2 linked regions of the Pelodiscus sinensis genome follow. The protein of the gene in region 1 interacts with the protein of each later gene in a pairwise test. Links are inferred from orthologs where the notes say so. Each region holds a gene or a part of one and is shown in the gene's direction. Other genes may lie near its edges. The genes, in order: DRAP1 and NFYB.

Region 1 (9,217 bases):
AAACCCCATGGGCTTTGGGAATATAAAGAGACAGTATCAACTGGTTGCAACAACTTCCACGGTCTTCTATCCGAGTGACTGCAGCTCAAAAGAGCAGAGGGGTCTTTCCAGGGAAACTGAGAGAGGACCATGTTAATACAAGCCTTGCTTGTGCTGGAGTGTACCAAATGTGGCCGAGAATACTGCAAGATAGTCACCTGTCATCTTTAAGAAGCATGACCAGCAGACACAACATCTCCCAGCGGCCAATGCTCCTCCCTGCTGTTTGACATCTCAGCCAGCTGCAGATTCTAGCAGAGCCTCTGCCCTTTGAAGAGGAAGACTATTACAGAAGCATGGAACATTACATGCTGGGCTTGTAGTCTGTGTGAGGCCTTCAAATGACTCTCACGTCTATGTACATCAAGTGCAGGCCACCTCCAACAAACCAGAGGAAACCAGTTTCAAAGCACAGTTGGGAGGCATTGGTGCCAGATGCCCATATTGGAGAGGGGAAAGGGGGAACTGCCAGACTGCGCCCCTCTCCCCAGCTAAGTCACCTCAGTGTTGCTGACTTTGTTGATGATACGGGAGCGGCGGGGGATGCACTCTAAGTCGAACTTGCTCTCATAGATGGTGGGGCAGAGGTGCCAGCGATTGTCCCGGTAGATGCCTAGATAGGTATAGACATCAGGCTTGTAAGAGAGCAGGCACTTGACGCCGGTTCCCCGGATGGCAGCATCCGCATCCATCACTTTCTCCTCGTCAGTGAAATCATCTGTGTAGATGCAGATGACATGCTTGCGGTCCGAGCTAGGATAGCAGGGGCTGACCTTGGCCACCCCAAAGCGCCCCTCCAGCACTGAGCGGGCGATGCCACTCCAGGCATGGTCCACTTTGAAGCCAGTGTCCAGGTGCATCAACCACTTGCCAGTGAGGACACGGTGGTTGAGTGCCAGCTCACGGATAGTGTTGAAGGTGACATGGCGCCCACTGATCTGAAGCCGCTCCCAAGCCTCCTGCAGCCCCACCACGTCACCTGACTCTGGGCAGTAATTTGGGCCATAGATGGCAATCCAGCCCACAGGCTCAGTGCGGTGCTCAGGATCTCCAAAGCGAGACACCCGTGAGGGCTGATAGGTCTGCAGCCACTCCTCAAACTCAGCCCGGGGGGTCTTTCGGGCATCAAACACCAGCCAGGGGTCCATGTCAGCTGCCATGGACTCAGCGGCCAGGTGCTCGGCCGAGAAGGCCCCTTCCTTTCCTGCATCCCCATCATCCTGGTCTGACATCACTCACTGGCCTCTGAAGGAGAAGAACCTAGGATGGAAGGGTCAAGGAGATGGGAAGCAAAATTATGAAGCACCATCTAATCCAATCTCCACAGCAGAGCCCAGGATACACTCAGCTGCTAGTGTCCATCCCTGAGTACCCTACCCAGTAATAACAGAGATTCCTCTACATCAGTGTTTCCCAACCTATGGGTCAGGACCCAAATATGGGTTGCCATTACATTTCAAAAGGGTCGCCAAGTGTCTTCGCAGGTGGCTCTGCCCCCTCGCCTCCCCCTGTTCTTGAATTGCCTTGGGTCACCAAGTATTCCTGAATTGTCAAAAGGGGTCTCCATCTGGAAGAGGTTGGGAACTGCTGCTCTACATCCATTAGTACTCCAGTCTTCTACAGGACTCTGGCCACTGTGGATGGAACCCCCATTACCTCCCATGTCCCCAATGCAGGACTATGCCCTGTAGCCCATCCCATTGTCCTCTGTTGATTGAGGCACCCAATTAGTTCCCATACACAAACCAGAATAATTTACCTGCTGCTCATGGGCTGCCGGAGAAGTGAACACAATGCAGGATAGGTATTCAAACGCAAGATGAACGATCAGGGCTGAGAATGAGCAACGCTAACATAAAGACCACATGGAAATTCAACTGAGGATTTATCTGTTGCTCTTGGCAGGCTGCCTACTGTACGCACCCCACAAAGATGCTGCCTTGACTTTCCTATTAGAGAAAAATCAGGTTTCACTGTGGATAAAGAGCAGAGAACACTAAATGATCCAGGGAGCCCACAAACACGCCTATGCCGAGGGGTATAAACTTAAGATCCCCTGACAGTGTCTTTTAAACTTCTCCTAGACCAGCTGGACTCAGCTGCTTCCATACTGGGACCCTTCCCCATATAGCACAGCGAGAGCACAACGCTTTCACTACACACCCCCTCATCTACAGAGACGAGCAGCATCCAGTCCCTTGCCACAGCACAACATCGGTTAGAGGATCAGGACTCGGCTACCCTGGGAGATGCTGCTGGGGGCACCGAGCGGGACACGCGGCTTCAGGAAGCGACTCGGGGAGTTCGTTTCATTAACCATCTCGCAGACGGGACCATGTGAAACGCCGAAAGGGGGCGGGACTCGCCCTGCAGCCGGCCCGAAGCACAGCTGGGAAAGACACCAGGAGTCTCCCCGCCGCCCCCAAGAGCCGGGGAAAGGACCCAGCCCCCCGCTGCCCAGCCCCCAACTGGGAACGAGACGGGCCATGCCCCCGGCTGCACGGGGAGGAACCATCTGCGCGCGGGCCGGGCCTAACGCCCGCGGGTCCCTCCACGCCCCCTAGCGCCTCTGACCCCGGGCGGGGCCCACCCCGAGACAGCTCCGCAAGCGCCCGCTCCGCGCTCACCCTCACCAGCCCCCTCCCGCGCTCAGCTCCCGGCCGGCCCCATCCTGCGGCGCGCTGCGCTCCGCCCACGCGACGGATAACGGCCACTGGGGCGGGGCCTCGGCCTCACCCGGATGTGGAAACGCGCGGAGCCGGGATGTGGGAAGGCTGAAGCTTGAGTGGGCGGGGCTAGAGAGCGAAAGAGGGTGGGAGGGGCCTAAAAGCCACCAATCCACTCAAGCCCCGCCCCTCGGCCGGTGACTGTGTCTCCAGCCCAGGCGTTCCGGTGTCTCTGGGCGTGGGAAGTTTCGTGGGGCCTGGCTCCTGCCAGGAAGCTGCAGCTGGTGTTGCGGTGGCCCCTGTCAGAAAGTGGAGCACGGCCTCCCCGAGCCAGTGGCGGGCCCGTAGTGTGACCCTGAGCCGTGTTCTGGGGGGTAATGGGTGTCCAGGACGGGTAGGAATGGTGTCTCTAGCCTCTGTTGGTCAGGGGTTGGAAATGGACGACCGGAGAGGGATCACTTGATGACTCCCTGTTCTGTTCACTCCCGCTGGGGCATCTGGCATTGGCGGCTGTGGAAGACAGGACACTGGGCTAGATGGACCTTTGGTCTGACCCAGTATGGCCGTTCTTATGTCCAGTCCCCTCTGGTGTAGAGCACAGGGGCCCTGGCCCCCTCACCCGGTGATGAAATAGATCCACTTCTAGGATGGGCACAGGGGCTGTTGCTACAGAGCTCCCTGGCCCAGCTTTCAGATGTAGCAAGGGAGGGCCCATGGCTGCGAGGGGGGGAAACAACCAAGGACGCTAGTGCACAAGCACTCCCTCTGCCATCCGTAGTGCAAGGAAGACCTCAAACCCCTGGAGGGTGATCTGCATATAACTCAATCTATGGGCTTAGGGAGAGGGGGTAGCCTGAGACCCTCCATAAGGCAATGGGGAGGGCATAGGAACTTCACAGACCCCCATCTCTGGTACTGGGGGCTAACCTAGGACACCAGGGATCTTCCAGGAGTGGGGAGTAGCTGTAGAGCAGGCAATCCCAGGGAACTGTGACTCTTGGAGAGCATACCTGCTTTCTCTGGGGGTGCTGGGAGGGGGAGGCGGAAAAACAGGTGGAAGGCACCAGTGGGAAGGAGGTGGACAGAGCAGAGTTGCGGGCCCCACGTCCCGGTTCTGCGGGGAGGATGAGCCCGAGACAGGAACTGCTGTGAAGAGAGGGCGCCAGTGCGAGGGGCGGGGAGGGGGAGACGCAGGGTGGCGTTTGTGCTGGGGTGGCCCTGCGCTGAGTAGGGTGCTTTGGGGGGGAAGGGCAATGGATGAGCGCTGGCGTGTTCCGGCGGCGCTAGGACACTGGCGGCCGGGGCGGCGCAGGAGACGCAGGGAGCCGGAGGGGCGGGGCGGGGCGCAGTGGGGCGGGCTGGGGTCGCTGCTGCCGCTGCTGGAGTCTGAGCCTGAGCCCCGCGATGCCGAGCAAGAAAAAGAAATACAACGCGCGCTTCCCGCCGGTGAGTGCGGGCCGGCCCCGGGGCCTCCGCTAGCCCCCGGCCCGGCGTAGCGTCCCCAGGCCGGCCTGCTTGTCCCCCGGCACCCCGCCCTCCGGGCCGGCCGGCCCCCCCATGCCCCTTAACTCCTCGGGCCGTCCTTACCTTCTGTGTTGGCCTGGCTCCACCCGGCATCCTCCCTAAGCCCCCCCCAGCACCAGGCCGGCCTAGCCCCCCCTTCCTCCGATACCCCTTAACTCCCCCGGGTCAGTCTAGTCACCCTGACACCCAGCTCCCGGGCCACCTAGTCCCTTTTCTGATACCGCTTAACCCCCTGGGCCTGGCCTAGCCACTCCCCCATCTCCTTCTCCCTTATCTGCCCTCCACCCTTAACTCCCCTGAGCCCAGCCTAACTCCCTCCATGGGTTCCCCCTAACCCCACCCCGGTCTGTCTTCAGCCTACCACCTTCTCACACCCCCTTCCCCCCTCTCCAGATCTTCCAAAGTTCTGGACCCAGCCTAGGTCAGCCTGAGCCTCTGTGAATGCTGCATCCTCGTCCACACTGGCTTGTCTGACCTAGCTCCCTCCTTCCTCCCTGGAGTCCAGTCCACCAGGCCCAGTCTTCATCCCGCTGCCTCTGCCTCCCCTTACCCACCCCAAGCTAATATTGTCTTCCTCTATAGTGCTCACATAGAGATACTCCTGCAGCATCCTCTTTTATGTGCCCCTCATACTTTCATTATCCACTTCTCCCTGTAGTGCATGCCCACCTGCCCCACTCAAGACTTCCTTGCTCTCCCATAAGGATGTACCTGCTTCCCTCTATTTGGATCCCCTCTGTCCCATATTAAGGATTTAAGCATTGGGCAATTGACTAATTGGATAGTCGATGCATTTTTGCTACACTTCAAAAGCAAAAGCACCAAAGCCTGGGATCAGTGGGAGGACTCCCCTGATGATCCCGGGCTCCATGCAGCGCTGCCGCTTTGAAATGCTGCGAGGAGCCTCACATCAGGTTCCCTGTGGCATTCAAAGCAGCAGCAGCACCACATGGAGCAGCTGACCCGGGGCTCCGTGCAGCGCTGCCACTTTGAAGTACATCCTTCTTCCCCTCCCTTGCTGCAACTATCTGATACAGGCAGCAAGGGAGGCAGGGGGAAGCAACTAGTCCGCTATCCTGTCAACTATCCAATAAGCATTTCCTTATCGGATAGTCGACTAGTCCTTCACATCCCTACCCCATATAGAGTTTCCTTCCAATACTGCCCACTGCTAATCCCCAGAAGGATGCCCCTTCCCTCTGTAGCCCTCCATTTGAATCTTCCACCTCTTCAGGGATCCTAGGATAACTCCCTTCGTGAGGAAGCCTCATCTTCCCTCCCTGACCTCTTTGGTCAAGGCCCCCAACCATAAAAGGGCTCTACACACACACACACACACACACACACCCCTTAACCGTAATGAAACTTGGCCCCCGTTCAGAGGTTCTCTTCATGCACCCCCTCCTAAGGGATGATGAATCTCCCCCCAATCCTTTGGGACCCACAGCTCTGGTGGGCCAATGGGGGAGAATGTGTGGTTCAGGTTATTCTGTCTGGTGGGATTATGGTCTTTCAGATGAAGGGGACTCAAGTTTCCTGGATTCTATGCTTGGTTCTGGCTGGGGAGTGGGGTCTAGTGGGTTACAATAGGGATGGGGTTGGGGGGAGGAGCAGGCAGCGTGCACAAGAGCCAAAATTCCTGGGTTTTAGCCCCACCAGTTCCATCTATGCAGTCCTATTCAGGGTGGAAGGGACACTTCCCTCCGCTCTCCTTTCTATAAAATGAATTAATTCTGGACCTGCCTCTCCTGGGACACTACTGTAGTACCTGAGGGCTTCAGTGAAAAGGGGAAAGATTGTTTATTGATATGGCAGGAAGAAACTGCTACTGTATGAGAAGGGGATATATTTACTGATTGTATAGGTCTCCTTTCCCCATGGAATTCTCACCACAGTGTGCTCGCACCACAAAGCCCTCCTTTTCTATCTTTGTCACATCTTCCGAGTTGGGGTAGTATGGAAAATGAAAGCTGCCTGATCAATTTCACCTCTTCTCAGTTTCAGTTCCTCCTTTCTTATGTTGGGCTCCCTGATGCCAATTGGGGAACCTTCACCATCCTGACCACCACCACAAAATCACTGAAATCGGCATTACCATCCACAAGTGATTAAAAATCCTTCATCAGATCCTAAAAACATGATTTAAAAAAGAGACTCATTGGGAGGTGCAAGGGTTTTTTTTATTTGCCTTTTGCTCTGGTGGGAAGTAGGGATGTTAACTTTAGATTAATTGGCTAATTGAATAGCTGATGCAATTTGCATCGACTATTTGCTTAGTCAGTAAGGGCACCTCCGCCTTTGAAGTAGCAACAGCCCTAAAGTTGTTGCTACACTTCAAAGGCAAAAGTGTTGCAGGGAGCACGGGGCCAGGGGGGGACTCAAGCAGTCGCCCACTTGCCCCATACTCCCCATGACGTTTCAAAGCGGACGCACCTCCTGGAGCCCGGGGTCAGCTGGGGACTTGGAGTCCCCAGTTGACCCCGGGCTCCATGCAGCACTGCCACCTTGAAACACCAAAGGGAGCCTGGTCTCAGGCTCCATGAGGCATTTCAAAGCTCAGCGCCACTTGGAGCCTAAGGTCAGTGGGGGAGTCCCCAGCTGACCCCAGGCTCCACGCAGCGCTGCGGCTTTGAAGCACCCCCTCCTCTTCCCTCTCTCGCTTGCTGCCTATTTCTGATAGCAGCAGCAAGAGGGAGAGCAACTAGTCGACTAGTGTGTCGTCTATCGGATAAACATTTGCTTATTGGATAGTCGATTAGTCATTCACATCCCGGGTGAGAAGGACCTTTTAAGGGTCAAGATGTGATTCTATCTGCATCTCTTGAATCCACAAGCTGGGGATTTTAGAGTGAAGTTGACAGTAAGATTGTGAGAGCTGGCAGCACTGACTCTAGCTTCTATGCCCCTTTGGTTCCCAAAGCTAAAGCTCTGACTTTGTGGTTGGGGCACCAGGTGAAGTTGGAGATCTGGGTTCAGTGCCTGGCTGTACTACATGTTCTCCCTGTGACCTTGAGCAAGATATGTCTCTTGGTGCCTCAGTTTCCCCATCTGTAATAAAATTTTCTCTGTTTAAAGAGTGACTTCATAGGGCAATGACTGTCTCACTTTCAGTCTGTGAAGCACTTGGTGCAGCCAGGGCCCTGAATTTGGGCCAGGATCCATGCAGTGCCCAACATAATACGGGCCACAGTGTTGAGTTAGAGTCTGTGTGGTACGTGGCACAGTCGAGCCCCCCAGTCTCATGTCAGGCTCTGTGCAGAACTTGGCACGGCGGGGGGCCCCTAATCTTGGGTTGGGATCTGTGCATTGCCAGGCACAACAAAGGAGCTCCCAATCTCAGTTCAGAGTCTGTGCAGTACCTGGCATGCCAGAAAAGGCAAGGCTTGTGACTTAGCTTTGATCCTCGCTATTTTACACCTGGGTTGTGACAGCTGACACCTTATGCTTTGCCCCCTTAGCTGGATGCAGGCCCCCTGACATGAGGGTGAGGGGCAAAGGGGGCAATCGCCCCAGGGCCCAGTGACTCAAAGGAGCCCAGGGCTCCCAGCCACCGCTGCTGATACTGCAGCGACGTAAGCCCCAGGCCCTTGAAATCGCTGCTGGAACACTGCTCCGTGAGGCACTGAGGCCTGCTGGAGGCCCAACACCATGCATGTGGCACTGAGGACTTGCTGCCTCCAGCTCTGCCCCTTGTGGGGGCATGGAACTGGGTTCCCTGGAAGCTGTCGGCTCCCATGGCTGGGTGTAGGGGATTTTATTGCCCTGTGACATGGATACAAACATCCTTTGGTTTCAGCATGCTCCAGTCCAGTGGAGGAAAGTGTTGATTTGTGTCTGGAGGGGTGGGTGAGTTTGAACCCTAGCTTGCGAGGGGAGACGGGGGCCGCTGCTGTGTTGCTTAGGCACAGGGAGGGTTTCCAGAGCCATAACGGGCAGGAATAGCTCTCGGTGAGACTACCAGTGCCCTTGGAGCTTGGGCAAGCAAGGAAGGAGTTGACCTCTCAGCCTTGGCTGTCCCAAAGGACCTAGTCACCAAAGAAAGGAGCCAGTGACCCATGGAATCTCTGCTGGAGTGACCAGTTCCCCGGGGGCACAGCATGTGCTGATTGTTCTCAGTGAAGGGTGGCCTAGGGCAATGTTTCCCAATTGGTGCTCTGCAGAACCCTGGGGTTCCGAGAAATCAAAGTAAGGGTTCTGTGAGAACTCAGCACTCCCCGCCCCCTCTTAAAGAGACAGAGCCTTTTTGCGGCGGGGCACAGAGGGTCTTTTTTTTTTTTTCCTCAACAAATTTTACTCTGGCAACCCTAGGAGTTCCTTGAAATTCTTTCAAGCTGAAAAGGATTCTGTGGCCCAATAAAATTGGGAAACACTGGCCTAGAGAAAGGGTGGCAGCGTCATGCAGGAATTAAGAGGTGCATGGCACCTGTGTCTGGAGATCTAAAATCACTTGAGAGGAGTGGATGGGGCTAGTGGTTAGAGCAGAGAGCTTGCTTGCCAGGAATCCTAGGATCTATCCCAGCTCTGGGAAGGAAGGGGAGTCCAGTAGTTAGAGCACATGGCTGGGAATACACAAGAGCTGTACAAATCCAACCCTAGGTCTGGGCCTGGCTAATTCCAGGGGTAGGGAATAGAATCTGGGACCTTTTGCTGTTAGGGCAGCAGACAGGGCGGTTCAGGGGAACAGAGGATGAGATGTGGTCAGTGCCATGGCTGGGACTAGAAAGCCTTTCTCTTTATGGGGTGCTCTCTCTGGTCCACACAGTCATGGTCTTAGCATTAGTATTGATGGGAGTGGGGAGCCCTGAGGGCAGTTCATAAGACCCCATCCCTGATAGTAACTGTTTCCTTTCATCTCTCTCCCAGGCCCGGATCAAGAAGATCATGCAGACAGATGAGGAGATTGGGAAGGTGGCCGCTGCTGTTCCCGTCATTATATGTATCCTTGGGAGTGCTGTTGTGCTGAGCTCCCACTCCTGAACCCCAAATGC
Region 2 (9,217 bases), on another chromosome or scaffold:
TCTGCTCGGCACATGGGGGAGAATGCACAGAGCTGGCGGCGGCAGGATGCATGTGCCGCTGGCGTGCAGCCTGGGGCCACCTGGGGCAGGGCGAGCCTGGCCGTGCAGGGCCCCACAGGCGCGGGAGAAGGGCGCTGCTGGCCGGCGCTGCGGGGGTTAACGCAGCCCCCGCCCCAGGCGACCGCTGCAGGGTGGCTGCTGGGAGCTGCTGCAGCCCACGATCCAGGAGCCAGGCGTGCGGCGCCTGATGGCAGCTATAAGGGGCGCTGCATGTCCCTTACAGCTGACATCAGGTGCCCCCCATAGGCTGGCGCCCCAGGCAGCTGCCCGGCTAGCCAATGCCTTAATCCACCCCTGGTCACAAGAGCAAGTCACCTGTCCGTGTCCTTTTTAGGCAAGCTGCCTACCTGCTTGACTGCAAATTTACAGCAGAATTCCTCAGTTGTGTATTGGCCACATTTATGGTTCATTGTTCATATTCACTTGACTATATGCACTTTCACAATAGGTGGGAGACTCCTGCTAATATCTCTCAGAAGCAAACATTTAAAATACAAGTACATAGCCAAAACTTATAACTTCACATATAAAAATCATACACACATATGAATAGTATAAACAGAATCACAAAATATAAACTTTCAATAGACACCTCACTTGACCTGCTTTGATACAAAATTTGGAGCACACTGCGGGGGTAAAAATATTCTGTATGTTCACATCAAAAATCCAGTAACATCACAACTTCTTATTAAGCTAATCCTGGCACTGACTGAGACATGATTCCTATGGAAAAACAGTATGTGATTTTGTAATTAAAAGATGTATCATAGTGCATGAACAAAATGGGAATAAATTAAAATTGCAGAGGCAAATGTGTGGCATTTCCTAAATTCTGTGTGTGTGTGTGTGAGAGAGAGAGAGATATGCTGTATTACTGGTACAAAACATTGTACTTTTCCCATTGTGCTCTGGAAAAAGCTTTGGCTCATTTCAACAGAATAGTGTAGTACTTTTTAAAAGACAGTAGGATTTCATCCACAAATATTTCCAAGTTCAAAGTAAAAAAATGTTTGGACTGTCTTTTAAAGCACTGTATTCTTTCAATATCATTCATTTTATAACTAACTACTTCCTCACTGAAGCTTTCCTGCTGTGACTTGTTCATAATGTACATGTCTCAAGTCCCAATCCTGTTCCCATTGAAGTTAAAGTGAGTTTTACTATTGACTTAACGGGTAGTGAAATCTGGTCCTAACTTTAGTATCAAAGATTTGAGAAACTCTGTATCTGAGTCAATGTGTGCGATGCTTACTGATTTATTTATGAAATTCCTGATTGCGGTGACAGAACCCACACAAAGGTCTTAAGGCTGCAGAACAAGGTTAATAGTGTGTCCTAACAGCAATATATACCAAGTGATAAAACAACTTCAAAATAAATAAAGAGGAAAAATACATTCCCAAGTGCTGTAAAATTATTGACTGTTTCAATAATACTTGCAAAACACGTCCCACATCTATGTATAAATGGTGGTAGGGAGAGACAATATAGAACCTACCTTATTGCCTCTAATCATGAAACCCGCTATCAGAAAGCCCCCATAGTGGAGAAAGGAGAGCTGAATAGGGTTTACTTCCTCTGCCCCCACTGAAATCCCCTATTAGAGCAACCCCAGTCTGAGGTGAGAAGTGGTGCTGGAACAATTTGTATAGTGAGGGTGCTGAGTAGGGGTGACTGGTAAGGAGAGCCACTGGCCACATAACTGATCCCCCTACCTTGGGAAAGGGCTGGGACAATCCTGCTCCACCTCAGCCTCTGCCTCTCCCTGCCCTTGCTCTGCCCCTGCCCTGTCTTTCCCCCCCAACCTACTTGTCCAAATGATGCTGCCCTCACCTCCCCTTCACCATGCAGGCAGCAGAAGCTGGAGCTGCCCAGCAGTCTACTCTGCCCCCCACCTGCCTCTGTGCTGCCCTCTTTCAACTTGTTGCGCCCTGCTTCTCTGTGGCACCGGGAAGTGGAGCACCCTAGGGCTGGGGCTCCCTGCTTCCCAGTGTCGCCTGTGTGGTGAGTGTATGTGTAGGTGGGTGACCCCTGACTACAGGCCTCTGTAATCCCCCAGATCCTTACCATTCATAGGATGGTTGGGGCAGCCACTGTGGGACCCCCAAAATTGCAGGGCTTGGGATAGATGTAAGCAACTAATCGACTATCCGATAAGCAAAAGCACACAAGTCAACTAATCCCTTCCCCCCTACTTGCTGCCTCTATCACAAAGAGGCAGCAAGGGGGGAGAAGAGGAGGTGCTGGAGGGAGCCATCTTAAAAGCTGGTTTCCCCCGCACCAGCTCTATGGGAGGGGGCAGGAGTGCAGCAGTGGCCAACTTGGAAATGTACAAGAGTCTCCCTGAGGCTCTTGTACATTTCAAAGCTGGCACCTGGAGCCCCAGGGCCAGCAGGGAATCCTTGTGGGTGCTTCTGCTTTCAAATGCACAAGAGCCCCCCCACTGGGGTTCCTGTACATTTCAAAGGCAGACCACAGAAGTTCTTCTCAACTAATGGAATAGTCCATGGAAATCCCTATTGCATTAGTTATGAAATCGAAATGTAACATCCCTAGCTTGGAACAGACGCCCCAATTCTTCCTCTGGGCCCGGACAGTGAACCAAACTGTAAGCCCTGTGTATAATGGACAGCACTGCAAGCCAGCACCCCTACTTCCAGCCCCTATTGGAGAGAGTGTGTGTGTGGGGGGGCAGCGTGTCTAAGAGGACCCCACAAGCTTCGCTGGGGGCCCAGCGTATAAAGGCGGCGGCGGCGGCGGCGGCGGGAGGGAGTCCGTGCGGCGGGAAGAGCCGCGAGTGGCGGGGCGGGGGCGGGAGGCGGCGCGGAGGGAGGGCAGGCCGGCTGCGGGAAGCGGGGCTCCGCGCTGGGACTGGTTCCTTCGCAGCCATTTTCTGTCCAACCAAACAGCCGATTTGCGGAGGGAGCCAACCAGGGCCGCACTGGAGGTTTGTGCCTGGCTCCGGCCAATGATTGGTAACCGGTTCCACTGCAGGCTCGAATGAAATGTCCGTCTCCCTCCCCGGGCCCCGGCGCCGCCGCCGCGCCGCCGCCCAGGGCACCAGGAAGTGGGGAGCGGAGCCCGGGCCCCGCCAGCGCCCGCTCGCCTCTTTGTGCGGCCGGAGCAGCGACAGGCGGCTGGGGGGAGATGGGGCCGGAGCGCCCCCCCCCCGCCCCCACTTTCCCTCCCCCCCGCCGGGCTGGGCACCGCGGCCCCAGCTCCGGCTCCATTTTGTGGGCTCGGGCGGCGGGAGCTGCGCCCGCCCGGCCACACGCGGGGCAGGGCCCTTGCGCCCCCACGGTCGCCTCCGGGCTCCCTGGCCGCAGCGGGTTGGGCGCGGGGATTCCCCCCCCTCCCCCTTAAATCAGACGCCGCGGCCCCTTTGCCCTAGAGCAGCGCGGCGTGGGACTGCGGGATGGGGGCCGCCCGTGGGGCTTCAGGCAGGGGGAGGGGGCGACCTTTCCTGCCCATCCCCGGGCTCCTCCGCCTCCCCCCTGCTGGTGTCCGAGCCCCCTCGGCCGCCTTCCTGGACTCGTGGCTGGGAGGCTGGTGCAGCATCTCCGTGAGCCTGGGGTCAGCGCTAGGACAACCCGGCTCCTCGCTGGCGCTAACCTGGCAGTCCTCTCCCCGGCCCAGATCCCTTGGAAGTCTTCAAGGAGCTTTAGAGTGAGGCCCTAACTCCCCCCAGGATGTGGTGGGAGTCTGAGTAACCGGACAGGCGCTTCAGATTCTCCAGTAGGGAGGCAGTGGCTTCTATTTTAGAGAGGAAATAATCGGGTTTATTCTCGCTCTATTTTTATACACATGCATAACTTCATAGACCAAAGGATGGTATCTTGAGTCTGCTGGCAAACCTTACCCTTAGGATCAGAAAGTAAGTGGTGAGAAGAGCGGCCTTTCCAATCCTAGAGATGTGCCTTCCAGAACTAGTCATTTCAGTGCTAATTGAGACTTTTGAACAAACTGATAAAAATAAACTTTTGTAATTTTCGGAAACTTGATGTAAATCAGTAGACAAGAAAGGGTGTCTTGTGAAGCCCATTGGAGCTTAAACTTTAGGGGATTTTGGCTGTGGATGCATTTAGTGCCTTACAAAACTTGCAATATTTTCATGATATTTACTTCATAAAGCTTATTTAAATGTAAAGATTTCCCTTTTGTGTTTATCACTTAGGCACACACTGTTCAATTGCATTAGAAGGTAGTGAAATTTATTAGGCTGATAAATCTGAGAGCCATGCAAAAGTAACCAATAACAAAAGTTGACTAACCTAGATTTGATTTTTTTTAATTGACAAGGTGGGTGAGGGAATATCTTTTATTGGACTAACTTCTGTTTGTGAGAAAAAGCAAAGTTCTATAGACTGCCTTGAGAATAAGTTGGAGGAAAAACCCATAAAGGTCCAATAAAACATCAAAAACTAGTACTGTATATGACTTGTCAAGCTTGTAAATTTTGCAGACCACTCCAAAAGTGTAAAACTGCACCAATTTTTTTATCCATGAACGCTCATGATATTGTATATTTTTGTTAGTTTCTAAAGTGCCACAGGGCTACTTTTTAAAAAGTTTCTATTATTGCCCTCTTTTGCAGCCAAGTTGCACTTAAATGCAAGCCCTTGCTATGTGGCAGGGTTGTCTAGATTCAGTGAGGGTATTCTGTTATATGATGATCTGATAAATTAAGCTGCCCTTCATCCTTGAATGTCTTATTTTATTCAGAATGAACTTTTCAAAGTTAATTGGGATGCAGAATGTAGCATGGTGTGTTGTGGTGGTTGGTTTTGTTTTGTTTAAAGCTAGCTTGCTTACTTCACCTTTTCTGACAAAAGAATCAGTAGCAAAATGGAAAGAGCAGCTCAGGGTATTACCCACAGAATAGTTATCCATGCAAGAACTGGATTCATGTGCAACTTGTTAGAATGAATTTCATGTACACTTCATCGCTGTGCCAGAAAAACTCTGCTATATCACATATTATCCCTTCTGTATGGAAAACTTGTAATCAGGAAAATCCAGGATGAACTGATCCTAAATCATTAGTTCCCAACCTGGTATATCAACCACTCGATGGTTTGGAGAGAGCTGTCTGCTTATTGTAGTGCTGATGACTGGCATTTTGAGCTGCTAACTGTACTAAAAAATAGCTAAAAATAAATATCCTAGTGTTACCCTTCAATATCAATGGCAGTCATTGCCATATAAATTATATCTGTTTGCCAGCGATAGAGGAGGCTGATTGTGGATAGGGGAAGTTATTCTACATGGCCAACTGGCAACAGGACTCTAAGGAGATGTGGGCTATGAAACAGAAATTGTTTGAGTCTTTTCCTTTATTAAAGACAATATAACTGTTTTAATTAGGATTTTAAAAGGAAGAATTACTAATCTAATTTTCATTTAATTTTAAAATTAATTGGTTAGTATGAGTTCTGAAACTTTTTATGATTTAAGCAGTGAGCTGGTTGCATTATTTAGACTGTTCATTTTTAATTACCTGTTGTAACTGTGATATTTCGAAAGTCTATCTGCTTAGGATTAGTGCTAGGTAAAATAGATGAAAGTTATTTACTAATTAGAGTTCATTAAAATGTATTAGCCCCATTGTTAAAATTAAACTGAATATCATATTTGGTATTTGCTGAAAATTATCTTGAATTAGTCTTTGCTTGAGGTGAATAAACTTTTTAATAAGTGTAACAAATATTTTTAAATCTAAAGGAAGGACAAATAGCCTCTGCTCTGGCTTAAAATTATAACTAATTTATGTGGGAAGAGCCAAAAAACAGATCACAATATAAAATGAAAAATATGTTTTAAGTAAAGGTACTAGGACAGTTCTTAAAATAAAATGTTTTCACGTCATTCAGTTAATAAACTGTCTCCATTCTTGTGCTGATGGAATGAATAGGACGGAGACCTGCTGCTGTTGCCTCCTCTTGAGCACTGCTTCTTTGTCTCTGCAAAGGCAGTAGAAATGTATAACCTTTTTAAATAGCCTGTATAAGCTCTGATTCTTTCCAGTTCACATCTCTTCTCCCTCTCCTGCCTTCCCTACCAAAAAAAATCCAAAAAACAAAATGCCCAAGAGAAATCATTGAAGCTGTGTATGATTCTCTCTGGTGATGACCCCACCCCCCCATCACTCTCCTAATAAGCTGCTTGGCTTAGTCACTGTTGAAACAAAAACAACAAATTTATGTTAGGGCCCCTCCATCTGTAACCATGCTAGTGTATAAATTAACGGACATAAGGGGCTTCTGTTAGAACGTGTTTAATGAATAAGGTGGGTGAGCTTATACCAGTGGCTCTGAGGGCCATATAGCCATATATATTGTGTGGATGCAGTTCATGAAACGCAGAGCTGTAAATGTGGCTCACGGTGGTAAATAGGTTGAAAGCCATTGGGAATAGGGATGTTAGCTATCGATTAATTTAATAATCACGTAACTGCCCCAAATCTGAGCAGTTACATGATTATTCAATAGTCCCCGGGGATGGGGGTGGCAGCCAGTGTGCTCGAGCCACCTGCCCCCTATGCTGCTGCCTCTGATACAGCAAAAGCTGCCTGGGGTGGGGCGCTGAGCTCCCTGCAAACAGAAGCTGCTCTGCCATCCCACGAAGCAGCCTCTGTCCACAGCGAGCAAGGACCTACCACGGACAGAGGCTGCGCTGGCATCCTGCTCCTCCCCCCTCTCCTTTTCCCCCCCCCTCCCCCTCCGCCTCTGATACACAGGCAGCAGTGCAGGAGAGAGGCAGCTCCACAAAGCCAGTGCTCAGGGGGAGCCAGCGTTTAAACCAGCTAACCCAAGCACTGGGTCCTTACATGTTCCCTCCCTCTCTCTTGAGGGGAAGCAGGCAGCTCCACAGAGCAGGCATGCACAGGGAACCAGCTGGCTCCCCTTGCGAATCAGCTCCCACTTGCCCACACCTGCGCTGCTGCCTCTTGAGAGAGCCGGGGGGCGGGGGAGCAGATTCACAGGATCTGGGGCTTGTGGGGAGCCAACTACACTGGCTTCTGCCTCCTCCCGCCCTTACTGCCTCTGATACGCAATTTGCGTATCTTACTTAAAAATAGCTTATTTTGAAATTTGGTGCATCTTTACAGTACCAAATTTTGAAATACTGTGCCTTTTTGAGACATCCCTTAGCCCTCGAGGAATGAGTGTTATCGGGATGGCAAAATAGCACGCCTGTTATTTTGAAAAATATTTTGAAATATCAGGCAGCTTGTTAAGACACAGGGTAGCTACATCCTGAAATAGCCGTGCAGTGTAGACAAACCCCAAAAGACTAGAGATGCTTCAGATGCAGGAAGAATACAGGGCCTCCATTCACAGGTTGCAAACATATAAAGACTTCAAACATTTTTAATAAAAGCAATTCTGTAGAAATGATGGAATAATTCTTTTTCCATCCCATACATGCTCATTGAGGTGGTGTTTGCAAAAGGCAGTTTCCTTTTTTTAAATTGATGGAGTAAATTATTCAAGCTCTTGCCTAGTGGTTATATTACTAAGACTTAACGGTCTTCACAATTCAATGAATAAAGATAAAGGGGAAACCTCAGGATTCGAGTTAAATTAATGCAGCAACTGAAGAGGATAGAGAAAGCTCAAGAAACTCATTCTAGTCCATTCTCTGCCTGTGCAGGACTATTGCCTATATTAGTGGGGCTTTTTTTTCTAGTTTAGTTTTAAATGTGTCATTCAAGGCTTGCTACTTAACTTTCCGTGGGAGATCATTCCAGTTTTACAAATCATACTTTTGGGGAGTTCCCCTGTTCTTAAGGCAACATTTTAATTTCCTGTTTTTCTTAGTTATGCACTATGTATTGTACTGTGCTAAATTTCTTCTTTCTTCGGTATTCACACTTCTCAAAAACATAGGCTTATGTCCTTTTGTAGTTGTCAGTGAGCCAAGCCACAAATATTCCTTACTCTTTCCTTCTAAGTAAATCCTATATCCCATTTAAATTTTTATGATACTGAGATGTTCTGAACTGAGCAGCCTCTGTCCTCAGGGAGCTGGGGACAACCCCCACAGACAGCGGCTGCTGCCATACCAGCTGTTTTGCAGCAGTTTCCCCTGCCTCCTTTCCTCCCTCCCCCTACATTGCAGCACCCTCTGTCTGCAAGGAGCTTGGACCTCCCATGAACAGAGGCTGCTGCCACCCCATGCTGCTGCCTCTGATAGCAGTGCAGTGTGCCGGGGTCTCTCCAGGAGTGGGGCTAGGAGCTCACTGGCTACTTGCCCCGCCTCCAGGGACTATCAAATAGCTGTGTAACCGCAAAGATTTCTAACATCCCTATTATAACTGTAGAGTCTCATTTAGTACAGTTTTGAATGCCTGCCTGGCAACTTCCCTCCCTTTCTTGAATTGTCTTCTCCAGGCGTGTTAATCTCCATTTCCCCCCAACAAGACCACTGAAGACAAATATTTCAATATATCCCCAACTATTTACATGCAAATTACTGTGCTGTTTACTTCCAAATCACTGACAATATCAAATAAGAATGGAGCTAACTTGACCACATTCCCTGTTCGTAACTCAATTTGATACACTGCCCTGTGGTATCTTTATTAGTGCTCACTGAACTTGCTTGTGTTGCTGTCCAAGCCAATCTGTTTTTTGAAGTAGGCTGTAGAAATGTAGAATGTGATTGTATTTTGATTGCAGAGGTATGCAACCTATTGTACAACTGGATGCTTCTGATTTATTTTGTGGTCAGTTAACATAGCTGTATACTATGTGTTGTTGTATATATCAGGTGATGCTATACAGAATATGGGTCTTGTATTAAGCAGACTTTGAGTGTGTTAAGTATCACTTGTAGTGATATTAGCCCTGATGACACATTATTGTAAATTTAAATGTTCAATTCAGACTTGTTTAAAATTAAAAAAATATTATGATGACTAGGGATGTGAAAGTGTTACCTTGTGCATGGTTAATGTACATGATTACACACAGACTCCCAATACACAGGTGATAAAATCCAGGAATCACGGGAGAGATGTGAGCGCGCACAGAGTGTATTCAGGAGTGTTTTGTTTCTTTTGAGAAGTGACTATGACTAATAAGTTCCTTTGCTAAGCCTGTATCTCTTGCTTGCCTGCCACATTGTCTTAGAAAGGGTTAACACAGTATGA

What was found.
Region 2: the proteins of DRAP1 (region 1) and NFYB interact in binary tests that used the Homo sapiens proteins (3 or more experiments, as listed by UniProt). The two-hybrid records come from large-scale screens. The link is inferred for Pelodiscus sinensis from reciprocal best matches to the Homo sapiens genes DRAP1 and NFYB.

The regions. Positions count from the first base shown.
Region 1 is NC_134721.1:32,598,721-32,607,937, reverse strand, and holds the start of DRAP1 (dr1-associated corepressor), read left to right. Parts: upstream 1-3,987; 5' UTR 3,988-4,109; coding exon 4,110-4,151; intron 4,152-9,092; coding exon 9,093-9,165; intron 9,166-9,217. Other genes in the region: C11H11orf68 (UPF0696 protein C11orf68 homolog), read right to left, coding at 531-1,271. UniProt on the Homo sapiens protein: The association of the DR1/DRAP1 heterodimer with TBP results in a functional repression of both activated and basal transcription of class II genes.
Region 2 is NC_134711.1:98,180,449-98,189,665, forward strand, and holds the start of NFYB (nuclear transcription factor Y subunit beta), read left to right. Parts: upstream 1-3,177; 5' UTR 3,178-3,937; intron 3,938-9,217. UniProt on the Homo sapiens protein: Component of the sequence-specific heterotrimeric transcription factor (NF-Y) which specifically recognizes a 5'-CCAAT-3' box motif found in the promoters of its target genes.